3 linked regions of the Nothobranchius furzeri genome follow. The protein of the gene in region 1 interacts with the protein of each later gene in a pairwise test. Links are inferred from orthologs where the notes say so. Each region holds a gene or a part of one and is shown in the gene's direction. Other genes may lie near its edges. The genes, in order: atxn1l, RNA binding protein fox-1 homolog 2 and ubiquitin carboxyl-terminal hydrolase 54.

Region 1 (4,103 bases):
CAACTCATCTGCGCTTCCTGTAGATTCCTTTGAAACAAATCATACCACCTACATTTTTTAAATTAGTCTCTAAATAGGGAAAGCCATTTATACAAACTACTCAACTGATAAAACTCAATAAATCTGTTTTTATTATTTGTGTTTAACAAGATTAAATCAATGAGCTAAAGCAGGAAATATTTAATGAATTCAAAACACCTGCAAAGGTTCCTGAGCCTTTAAATTGTCCATCAGTCTAAATTGGATTACTGAATCAAATTGCACCAAATTGTAATTTTCGAGTTTCACCTTTATAAGTGTACTAATTAAAATGAAATAATGTTGATAATATTGTTTCTTCCTCACTAGCTTCTCTTCATGCTGCTGTTTCTGCTAATTCTGTATCTGTCAGGATTACGTATTTTTTATTTTTTATTGTTCTTGTGAAGCCCTTCGTGATTTTTTATCTTCAGAGGCACTCTAAAATAATAATGTCTTCTTTTTCATGATAATTAATTTTTTTACCCCCGCAATTTTATCTATTTCTTTTCGTATGTTTTGCTTATAATTAATTAGCACTGTGAAGTTTTTAAATAGTAAAAGTCATTCTGAAATTACACCTGCCTTGATATCACTATTTCTTTCTTATGGAATTTATTCCACTTATCAAAGCCCCCTAAATAACCCTAAAATATTTAGGCTTTCTCTGGCAGATTAAACGTGTCATTTTTGGTATCTGGCAACAAACAAATTGTTTTAATTATTATTATTACTTTGTGTATACTTATTCATCTCTTGTTTCTTTCTACAATAAATAATTTGTTTGTGATACTCGGCTACAGGGAATAAAATATAAATGTACTAAAAAGGAATGTTATTTAAGATGTTAAATAAATGACTAGTAAGGGAATTATTTGGTATAAATATAAATCTAATGTTCACAAAAAAGTAAAATGGATTGTATGTCACATACTCTAATTTCCCTATATATATATATATATATATATATATATATATATATATATATATATATATATATATATATATATATATATATATATATATATATATATATATGTGTGTGTGTGTGTGTGTGTGTGTGTGTGTGTGTGTGTGTGTGTACGTTAATATATACGTTATATGTTAACATGGCTTTCTACGCTAGAGTATTTTTTTTTTTTGCGTGCGCGTGCTTTACTCACTCGTGCGCGCTTAGAAAAACAGGAAATGAGTAAAAGTGGTGACATCATTGGTGAGCGCCTCTTCTGGCCTTCGAGATGGGCTTCATTCGTTAGCCTTGATTTTTCCGACTGTCTCTCCGCATATCAGGAGTTTTAGAGAGGAAAGCCCGTCCGCGATGACATTTGGAGGTAAGGAAGCAGGACGAGACCGAGCAGAATAACTCACAATAGCCATTACAGTTTGTTTGAGTCGAGCCGGACTCTTGTAGCTGTGTTAGCCATGGAGCTAACTAGCTTCAACCTGGTCCGGATAATAAATTATAACCCATTGGCCTCGTGCTACATTCGCTTTCATTTAAGTGCAAAATATGTTTAACGATGGCGTACTGACTGTCACCCTGCTTCTGTTTTTAAATGAAACGGGTTGTTTCCAAGAAGTAGCTCGCTAACTTTAGCCAAGTCAGCCAGAAGCCTAACGGTAAACACTGACTCAGGACTGAGCTGTGGGAGACAGAAACCCCTGATGTTTATTAAATAACTATTGTTGTTTTTTATACGTTTCTTTCCATAAAACTTTCTTTCGCGTTGTTTATATAATATTTTTGATCACTGGAAGATAAATCTATCCTGGATGACACAAAATAAACTTTTTTTTAGTCAACATTTATTTATTAATTTCTGCCTGTGCTCTCTTAAAGACCCTATATTTATTAAATATCATTCTAAACAAATGCTTTTCACAGACTTGTAACAGAATGTTCTTCTGAAACAATACACAATGTTAGACTCTAATCTTTATGACTGCAGTCCGTGGTTAGACTTGTATTTTTCTTCATTTTTTTTAATTCACAAATTTACGTATTTTATAGATGGTGGATGTTAGAGAAAGACTGATATATTGGACTGATATGTACCATTTTCTGTATATCGTCTAATATTTCTCATTAGTAGAGCTGATTTAAAGTCAGGCATTTTCATGGAGAGTATGGTGCAGCCACATTTTTCCTGAATAACATCTTTTTAATAAATGATCTAAAACATTACTGTTTTTTTTACCTGTGTTATATACTTGGCCAGTTAATTGATGTTTACTTAATTTATGACTGGGAAGTGACTAAATTAAGCTTCAACAGTTTTAAACAGGTTAGGTTCAGCTTAGTTGCACATCAGCTGTAGCTAGTGTGACATTTCAGAATGCAAATAAGGTGTAAAATGTCCAAATGTTGGCCTTGAACATCGGCCAAAACAATCGGCAGCACTTACATCGGCTGACTTAACTCAGTTTTACATTTTCTACTTCTTAATTACTTTGTGGGTGTTGTTAGTTTTCTTACTTTATTTGGGGTGTGATAAACTCCATATCACCCAAAAAGTGTTTCTTCTGGTATATTTGAGCATTTATTTTATTTGATGTAGAAATATTCATCTCCTCTTCTGTAACGGCTACTTCCAGTAAGGGTTTAGGGCAGCTGGTGCCTGTCAAGCAGTCACTAGGCGAGAAGCGGGAGGCACTCAGTTCTGATCACCAGTTCATCACAAGGCCATGAAAGCCCCTTTCCCACACATTTACTGTGCGGTTTGGTTCCTCTCAGTTCTACATAGTTTGCGTGGTTTTCGATTACATTTAAGAAACCGCTCGTCATACATGTACCCAGGCCCATTGAGTCTCAAAAGTAGCGCACCGTGGTCTGTACAGGATACAAATGTAGCACAACGCAACAATGGAGGACATAGTAGCGATGAACATTCTGCTCCGTCTGTTGCTTTTTATCTGACTCCAAAAAGAAGAGGCACAGAAAAGGCTGCAGGCATCAAGGCAAATTACTCTGTATAAGTACAGGAGTGTGGGATGCAACCAGATGGACACTCATTTACACCTAATGACAAGAATAGCCAATTAGCCTAACATGCATGCTTTGGGTTTGTGGGAGGAAACCAGAGTATGTCGAGGTAGCCCCATGGCGTGGGGAAAGAGTGCAAACTCTGCACACAAAAACCGCAGCTGGGTGTTGAACATGCAAACTTTTTGCATGCAACGGTGCTACCAACTACACCACCATGCCGCCTGTTTAATATTTATTTATACACACAAATGTCACTGAGACACTGCATCTCACTCTCAAGAGGGAGCAGTTAAGAGTTGATCATAGAAGGTAAACAATCACTACATCACATCTTTTATAAAGTACTCTTGATTTGACTATTTTTTTAGACGGTTGTAAAATAAATGCATTTTTGCTTAAAAAACTGTTATTGCTTCAGCAATTGGTTGTTGTTTTTTCTTCAAGAATGACTCGACTCCATTGCAAACAAACTTTGCCAAAGTAAATAACATTTTCCTTTTTCAAAATGTTTTGTGATCCTATTACAATACAAACTGCTTTGTCGTCCTTGTTTGACTGACCTAACTGTACCTGACATGAATGTAAAAAAAAGATGCTTTTCTTTTTCCCTTCCAGGTAAATCTGTAGACGGGGTCAGCCAGGTAATTTCAGAACTGGCTTCTGAGTGGGCTGTCTGGCTCGCAAGTTTCACTTCCTGTGCAGTACAATAAAACAACTTTATTGGCCAAAGGATTGCAATGAAATCTGCTCAGGAGCGCAACCAGGAGTGCCTGCCTCCTAAGAAGAGGGACCTACCAATCAGTAACAGTGGTGGAGTTGGAGGAATAGGTGGAGGTGGGGCTGGTGGAAATGCTTCTGGAGGCAGTAATGGCAACGACGAAGGGGCAACCAGTCAGAACTCTGCAGCTAACAGTGAACCTCACAGAAGGACCCCATCTGGAGAGTGGCCACGAGGCCATCCGGAGCTTCATTATGGAGTGGAGAACTCGGATGGGATATCAGCTATGCCTGTTGACCAGTATAGTATGCTTTATAAAGTGGCTGTTCCATCTGCCACCTACTCATCCACCAGTCTTCACCCAGTCTTAGGCCACATCTC
Region 2 (4,197 bases), on another chromosome or scaffold:
GCTTTCCTTTAATTGTTTTTCATTATTTCTCAGTAAAATAAATAAACAGCATGTTAGGAGTTTTTATTGTTACTAAACAATATGTATTGTTTTTTAACACGCAATCTGTCTACAACATGTCAAGGTTTTTGTTTCTGCTAATTCTCTTTAACAAGTGTGCCTTGGTTTCATTCACTGTTGCATATAAAGGTGACTAGTTGAGACTTTTGGGACTTCAGCTACTCTGACTTGGGCTCCAACAAAAATCCCACTAGTTGGCAAAAAATGTTTGTTATGGAGCTGGTGCCCATCAAGTAATTCAGAGAAGTAATGAAGTAAAACAACTATATTCATTTTTTATTATGTCGAAAGAAAGGTGCATGGTTTCTGTAATCTATCTACGATGTCCTGAAGATAATATTATCTTTTTTAAATTCCATTCCCAACAAACAGGGTAACTCCCCAATTAAATCAGCAGCTGAAAAACACGATTAGAGAGTAACAATTCAACTCAAGCCTTTTTACAACGAAACTATGCTTTATTATTATTATTATTATTATTATTATTATTATTATTATTATTATTCATTTTAATGCAGGATGAACATTTGCTTTAATGTTGTGTTTGTGCTCAGAAATAAGAACAATCTAATCAATATCAGAACACTCAGTACCAGACTTTAGATCCACATTTATAATGAAAAGTGTCTCCCCGTTGACGTGCTGTTCTATCCTTCAGCCACTTGAAGGCGCTAAATGATTCAGAAAGAAAACCCCTTGTAACGGAATACTGTGCGTTACATTTACCCCCATGTCCAACTAAAATATTAAATGAAGTCCAGACAACAGAAGCCAGATTGGGTCTCATCGTAATTATTTATAATTCTTCAATTTTTGAAAAAGCTAATTGTAAAGACCGGTTTGCATATGTATGAAACAATTAAAAATATAAATATTTAATGTACAGTTTACATGTATTTAGGTTGCATTTTAAAGCTACAAAAGTCAAACATATCAATAAAACCTAAATGAATTAAATGTAGAAAATATGACTTTTAATGAATCTCATTTCTTTTCATTTTTGTCATGATAGTAACAAGATTTTATAATACACAGGCTATTTTAATACAACGTGAAGGAATGTGTTGACATTTTTTACTGAACTATGTAAATTGTTGCTGTTTTATTTTCTTTTTTTGGGGGGGGTGAAATGTATAAAAAATTGTTGTTGCTTTTTTCGATTTTTCTGTGTGTTGTTGTTTCTAATTTCCTTTATTTCTTTATAGACTTGAGGAATTTTTCGTCAGGTCTAAAATCGGTTAAACAATGAAGGTTTTCGTTTATTCGACCAAAAGACTGAAATAAGAATAAAGGAGGGAGCGGTGAGGCGGAGGAGGAGGTGGTGGTGGTGGTAGGTGGCGTTGGGAAAAAGGAGGAGAAGGAGACCAGGGAAGAACAGACCTCAGACCAGTCCGTTTCACCTCAACGTCTTCTGTCTAATCCCAGTCTTCGTGGTAAAATCTGACCTCGGATCAGCAACGCCAACACTGGGAGAGTGTGGGACTGAATCCAGAGGAAATCGTGCTCGTCGGTGGTGGCCAGGTCGACACGAGAAGACTCATCCACGAGTAGACCACGGCGGCGAGGGAACGGACAAGACGGGAGCGACTGAAAGGAAAAGCGGATACGGAGGAGTTTTAACCCCGCAACAGCAGCCAGCAGAGCGAGCTCTGGCTCTCCGCTCCACGCAGGAGTAGTGTGACGTTCTGCTCATTTCCAACATTTTCTATTCTTGGCAGCGGGAGTGAGGAGCTCTCCGAGCCACATTTATAAGGAGAGCTAGCGGAATGTAATGCTAGCGAGCTGGCTAACGTTAGCTAGCTAATTAGCCTATCAGGCATTCGCGAGTCGGACGCTTGATTTTATTAAAATAGGTCACTGCTTGGCGACATCTGACTCTGTTAGGGAGAGCCTGCTCTATTGTTGCTCTTTACGGGTTCCTAGTTCGGCCACAATGGTCCTGCTGGCTTAGCCAAAGCCAAGTTAAGACAATAAACAGTGCGAGCTTTTCATATTGATGAAAATCTGTTCAATATTATCCGCGTTGTGTGGGAAAGCCATTGTGAAGCAAACGGAAGAAAGGAGGTGAAAACAAGCTGCAGACTTTTGACTTGTGACCGCCTGTCGTCCAATGTTAATGTCGACCGACGTTGCATCTATAATGCTACCCGTTAATCGGGGAATAATGGACCGCGAAAGGGACATTGATACAGTAGCCGCCGGACCTCATGCGAGCGCGGCCGCGGGTCCAGCGGTTGTCCGGGGGATGAAACGGGGAGACCCGGAGCCCGACGCTCAGACTGCCGCTGCCCTGACCGACCTGGCCGGGGCGGAATGCAAGAGACCACGGATAGACGGGACCGGGAGCGTGGTCGGAGACATCGGACAGGTAGGATTACTCTAAAACCCGTCAGACACATTCGTGTGTGTTATGTTCTCATCTCTTCTGCTCACATTTGCTCCTCAGCATCATCAGGAGGGATGTTTTGACAGGGCCCTAACTCTCTTTCAGCAACAACACAACCCTGTCATCTTTGCAACAAAGAACAAAAACATTGTAACCAGACAGGGGGTTTATAATTTAGAGGCCAGTGAAGGAATATTGCGAAATGTGTCTCGTTGAGACTCGGGCTGTGCAGTGAAGGAGCAGCCCAGACAAAGGTAATATGATCCAGGCTCCATTGCTATGACAGACAGCAGCACAGCAAAGATCAGACATTCATCATGCCTGTCTCATATGAAAAGCTAGTGCTTCCTCCCATCCGGCAAGATTTTTAACACGTTTTCATTCAAATCAGCTAAAAATGATCAAATATTGTCATTTTTAAAAATGGATTTTCCCTAAATCCTGACACATGGCTGCTCCCCCCTTCTCGGTGTGGCTAGGTGTTAAAAGAGAGAGGCAGACAGGGATTGGGGGAGGGGTCACCACAGTGAAAGACAAAGAACAGAGTTTTTTTTTTGTCGCTGGAGGCTGAAGGAGCAAAAGGAGGCTCAGGGGGGCCTTTCTTAACTGCAGGTCTTCGCTGCATTCATGACTCGACAGCTGAGACAGCAAAGCATCTGCAGCCGGTTCTGCCTCTCTGCACTGATCTACTGTCTACAGTAAACCACTAGTTCTCTGGATTTGTTTGCTATTAGTCCCTCCATCTCCTCGGCTCATAAACACGCCGCACAGCTCTTTTTCTTACACCTACACGCATACAGTTTGAACTGGCATCTAATCCAATAATAGAGCAGGACAGTTTAGCTGATGTCTGGTGTTTTAGTTCAGGAAAATGGCTCTGAGAGGAGCGGCCAGACACAGCATGAGGTCACCTGTGTGCAACCGAATCCAGACGAGTTGGTAAAGCTCTATCAAAGAGGGGGCGCGTGGTCGACTGCAACAAGCGGATAGCATCTATGTTAGCATAATAAAGAATCAACCTTTAAGATTGGGGTAGAGGAAAAAGTAGAAGAAAAGCAAAATGATACAGTGCTGTACTTCTGATATCTTCTGCTTGTTTTCTGTTAGATGTTTCAGCAAAGCAAACAATTTCTAGCCTGCCAAGCCGTCCTATATGTGTGAATATATGGTCTGACCACGACCCATAGACAGAGCTCAGTTGTGGGGCGGAATCTACGGTTGTCTTTCAAACTGTCTTCGCACACACCTGATCAGTGCCAGAGCCAGTCAGAGCAACAAACAGAGTGATGTTTTCATCGCCATGGCAACCAGTCAGTAGGGCAGTCTGCCTTACGCCGTTGAAGTAGTTCTATTGAGTCATGTCTCAAAGAAAAACCCAAGTCTATATCGTCCAAAGTTGATGCCACAATTGTTTCAAACGGGCACCGTTCCTTAACCGGCACCATCTTTGTAGTTTTTTTATATCGCAGCTCTTGCGGTAATCCTAACAAACGTAGAGCGCTGTGATTGGGCCAGTGGTAGACCTGCTGAGGTGTGGCTAGACCAACCTGTGTTTTTGCTGCTGCTACAGTTCGTCTGGATCATTAGGATAAACAACTTCATCCTCATGCTTCATGTAACTTGGACAAATACAAAGTTTTGTTTTTGAATAAAGATTAAATTCACGAAGCTTTCTAAACTGACCTGGTCCTATTAAGATGACTGATGCCTAAATTTAATAATCAGTTGTAACACACTTAACATCAACCAAT
Region 3 (4,334 bases), on another chromosome or scaffold:
TTCTTTACATGGATATATATTATTAATCGTTTTAAAGTGAACTTCCTTCATTTTGGGGAGAAGAGGGTAAGAAAGAAACTCTGTTCTTATGACTTTAGTATCTATAATTGAGAAAATCGGAGAAAGAACTTTCCTTCTGACAGGAATAGGGAATAACTTGTCTGACAAGACTGCTCTTAGGTAAGAGTTATTACATTTACGGTCTGTAAAACTCAAATCACCTATAGATAATTTAGGAAGCTTAGGTGTATTTGTTCCATGTTGAATACTTTGACTGACCATCTGGCCAACAGCTGGAGAAATAGCCTTTATAACTCTAGAGTATTCCGTTACAGAACAGTCTATGTTATACTTAATTTTGAACTCAGTATGCTCCAGAAACTTACCCTTACTGTCCATCAGCTGCATTATGGTCCAAACTCCTTTATCCATCCAACTTTTATAATATATCGATTTCCGTTTATACAGAACAAATCTGTTATTCCATATAGAGGAGGAATGTGGGCTAAAGTTTTGCGAGTAGATCATTTTCCAGTACATCAACACTTGTTTAATATAGTTAGAAAGTTTGATGGGTAATTTAAGAGGATCGAAATCACATTTTAACAGAAAATCTATACCTCCAATCTTCTCAAACAGAAATGAAGGAATACAGAACCAGATAGAATCTTTCTTAATTAAAAATTTTTTTAGCCATTGTAATTTAATAACTCCATTTATTACTTCAAAGTCAATGACTTTCAGACCTCCTTCTTCTATAGGTTTTACTAGATCGTTTTTTCCTAATCAAATGTTGTTTATTATTCCAAATAAAGTCATATTGTGTTTTATTTATTCTCTTAACATATTGGTCAGGGATAGCTACTGAAAAAGCAGGATAGATTAATCTAGATATACTCTCCATTTTTGTTAAGAGTATTCTACCAAAAATTGATATATGTCTTTGGAGCCAACTACTTAAAATCTTTTGATTTTTATTAATTATTGGTTGGATATTGTTATCCACTCTCTCCTTAAAGATTTTATTAATCTTCATACCCAAATACTTAATTTCATTCTTAATAGGGATATCGCAAATATGAAACTCCTCAGTATCATGAATTGTTAATATTTCACATTTGTTAGCGTTCAACCTTAAACCTGAGGCTTGTGAATTTTTGACGGAAACTTTTGCAACAAAAGTCACTTCCTTATTTGGCTTCAAAACAGACAAACACTTTGTGCTGTGTTTGTTTGTGAAAACAGTTTCTGGAGATAAAATCACATTGGCACCATCAGGGAGCAGGTGGGATCATTAAGGCTCGAGTCTATGTGGATGTTCTAGGAAACACCTGTTGCTACTGAGGGTTACTGGCCCTTTAAGAAATCCAGGAAGTGACAGGGAGCAGGCATCTGGTGGGAAGGAAGGAGGGGAGGGGCTTGTAGAGGAAACAGGTGTGTGAGCCTACAGCGATGATGTCATTGTTTGGCTGAGTCACCTGCAAGATAGCAGCTGAGATCAAAGAGGAGAGGGAGGTTTTTAACTGGTGGTCTTCCTTTGGAGAGGTTGGTGTGAAAGAAGGAGGCTCTGCTGAAGGGAAGATCAGCTGAATGCTGCAGTTTATCCAGGTGAGCAGGAAAGCAGTCCCTCTAAGGACATCTGAACCTTTAAAACATGATTACTATTTATCTAGTTTTACTCTTCATATACTTACTGTAATCAGAGTAAAGATCATATTTGTTTTTGTGTTTTTTTTTCCACTTTTAAGTTCTTTTAATTAAGTTATAGGTTTAAGTGTGTGTGTGTGTGTGTGTGTGTGTGTGTGTGTGTGTGTGTGTGTGTGCGCGCGCGCACGTGTGTATTCTTGTCTTTATAGGCTTAAGTGGACGCATTTAAACTTTACATCTGTAGTATGTGGACATGGTTAGGGTTAGGCATAGAAGAGTCACCAAAATGAATGGAAATCAACGGAGGATCCATACAGCAATAGAGACGTGTGTGTGTGTGTGTGTGTGTGTGTGTGTGTGTGTGTGTGTGTGTGTCACATGACAGGGTGTTTAATGTTCAGCTGAATCAACCAAATTAGTTTTTATAAAATAAAGCACTTTATGGATTTCATGCTGATTCTACTCGACTCTTCCCTCATTACAGCTTTATCCTGAGGATTGTTTACTGAGGATCAGTAAGCGTTCATAAGGTTTATGCAGCTTTATTACACAAAGACAAAACACAGTCACTTTTCTAAAACATTTTTGCCACATAATGTAGCTTGAAATGCTCTTCACAGACCGATGGTAACCATTTAAAGCTGCAATAGCAAATCCGTAAACAAACTAGCTTTTAAACACAAACACGGTCACGGTACTCTCACCCCTCCCGTTGGCTATGATCCCTGGTCCCACTGATGCCAGAACACACTTTGTCAGGAGAAACAAAATGGTGCCAAACACCAGTGGTAGTTTCCTAGGTCCAAACATTTTTTGTTGACTTCAAATGATGTTTTTCTTTTGGGGACTGGAAGTTTGTCCTAAAGTTAAAGTGGTAGCAGCCTTCTCTAATATAATTGAGTGGAGAACCTCTCACGCCAGTGTTCTGTGACTCAATACGTGAGTGTGTAATAAGTGGACTCAGGGAGGTGTGGCAGTTCAGCGAGACTGGCAACTAGATAGTCAAATAGTTGCTTTTGGACTGAGCCGTGTTATGAGCTGAAGTTTATAGACACATGCGAGAGAACCACTTTATTAACTTGGTTCAGTCATTTTAATCTCAATGTTTTGAGCTAGCTTGTTATGCAGATTTGCTACTGTATGTTTAAATGTTTTATTTAAAAAAATTGATTATTTTTATTGCCTTTGAAACATACAGTTCTGGAGAAACCTCATCCAATCATTGTGAACATCCCATTCCCAAAGCAACGCTTAGACCTCGCCCTGCAGCCCTCTGCTGATCAGAAACAGTTTTGTGGTTTGGTTAGGAATGCTAGAGGCAGCTCTCCATCTGCTATACAGCAATAGCAGTTTACTGTGCCAGTAGCTCATATAAAGGCTAGCAAGTAGCTTTTTCAGTTTGCTGACCTGAGGAAGTGGGAGGGGATGTATGTATGCAGTAGCTCACACAGGTAAGGCAGGGCAAGGTCATCAAGAGATTTAAAAGCAATGCAATCATTTAAACATTAAAATCCTTTTTCCTGTTAGGAGGTGAGCAGCAGCAGCATTTTGTACTGTCTTAAGCTGAGAGATATGGGCGTCACTTAATCCTGCATAAATCAACAGAAGGTTTCACAAATCACCAACTGTCTTTCATAACAGCTGTTGTTAATGTAGACCAAGTCAATGTTTGTAGTTTTGGGACCAGTTCTAATGTGGTCCAGATGCAAAACAGTGCTGAAATATGTGTTATTTTGACTTTTACGAAGGTTTCACAAATCATAAACTATGCTTTAAGGATTCTGTTATTGGTTTAAAATGATATAGTTCAGGTTTGAAGAGTTGAAGAGTAATAAAGGCACAATAAAGACGCTCAGGATTTCAAAACAATTAGTTGGAATTTTCATTTCTGACTCAGAAACTAAGAAAGGGACAAACTTCAGCTTATTTTATGTTTGTATGTTACAGAAACCAAATGTGGACAATATACCAGCCATTAAAAATGTGTGTCCTGTCCCCAAGGACATGTATAATGGCAAACAAAATGCACATAGGGGAGAGTTGAGTAAGTAGATCCTTAAAGTGCCTTTAAAGCAAAAGAACTCTAGGAAGGCCTCCAACTAAATTATGTAGGGCTGGGGGTAAACGACTATTTTTAAAACGATTATTCTGACGATTATTTTATCGAATAGTCGACTATTCTAATGACTATTTATACAATTAATCTAATGATTATTTTTCTATTGCACAGTTAATAAAAACCAAAAAATCTCTAATAAATTCCTCCAAAAAATTGATTAATTGTTACTGTAAGAGAATAAACACTACAGGCCTTCCATTTTGTGTAACACTGCTTTTATTGTGTTGGTTGGTTATGTTCTGGTGACGTGTAGAACTTGGGAGTGCAGGCTGCTGCCTGAGAGGTGGTTGGAGACGGAGTGTCTCCATGCTGCTTCGTCTTGGTCACTTATGTGCGTGAGGCGAGTGGTGTTACGACTCTTCCTGGGGAGTTTGGCTCGTGTGCAAAAAGGAAGGGACAATAATATGGGATTTAAAAGTTAAAATGATGATCGGGTTTATTTACAACTACAAAAAACCAAATCTTTCCATCCACAGGTTGGGAGTAATAAAACTAATTCTGCCTGTGGGGAATTAAAACAAAAGTACAGATAACTAGGGATGTCCCACTGGGCAAAGATTACAGGGTT

What was found.
Region 2: the proteins of atxn1l (region 1) and RNA binding protein fox-1 homolog 2 interact in binary tests that used the Homo sapiens proteins (3 or more experiments, as listed by UniProt). The link is inferred for Nothobranchius furzeri from reciprocal best matches to the Homo sapiens genes ATXN1L and RBFOX2.
Region 3: the proteins of atxn1l (region 1) and ubiquitin carboxyl-terminal hydrolase 54 interact in binary tests that used the Homo sapiens proteins (3 or more experiments, as listed by UniProt). The link is inferred for Nothobranchius furzeri from reciprocal best matches to the Homo sapiens genes ATXN1L and USP54.

The regions. Positions count from the first base shown.
Region 1 is NC_091749.1:59,412,660-59,416,762, reverse strand, and holds the start of atxn1l (ataxin-1-like), read left to right. Parts: upstream 1-1,199; 5' UTR 1,200-1,349; intron 1,350-3,619; 5' UTR 3,620-3,741; coding exon 3,742-4,103. UniProt on the Homo sapiens protein: Chromatin-binding factor that repress Notch signaling in the absence of Notch intracellular domain by acting as a CBF1 corepressor. Binds to the HEY promoter and might assist, along with NCOR2, RBPJ-mediated repression.
Region 2 is NC_091752.1:66,555,789-66,559,985, reverse strand, and holds the start of RNA binding protein fox-1 homolog 2, read left to right. Parts: upstream 1-1,397; 5' UTR 1,398-2,170; coding exon 2,171-2,428; intron 2,429-4,197. UniProt on the Homo sapiens protein: RNA-binding protein that regulates alternative splicing events by binding to 5'-UGCAUGU-3' elements. Prevents binding of U2AF2 to the 3'-splice site.
Region 3 is NC_091752.1:44,843,690-44,848,023, forward strand, and holds the start of ubiquitin carboxyl-terminal hydrolase 54, read left to right. Parts: upstream 1-1,442; 5' UTR 1,443-1,608; intron 1,609-4,334.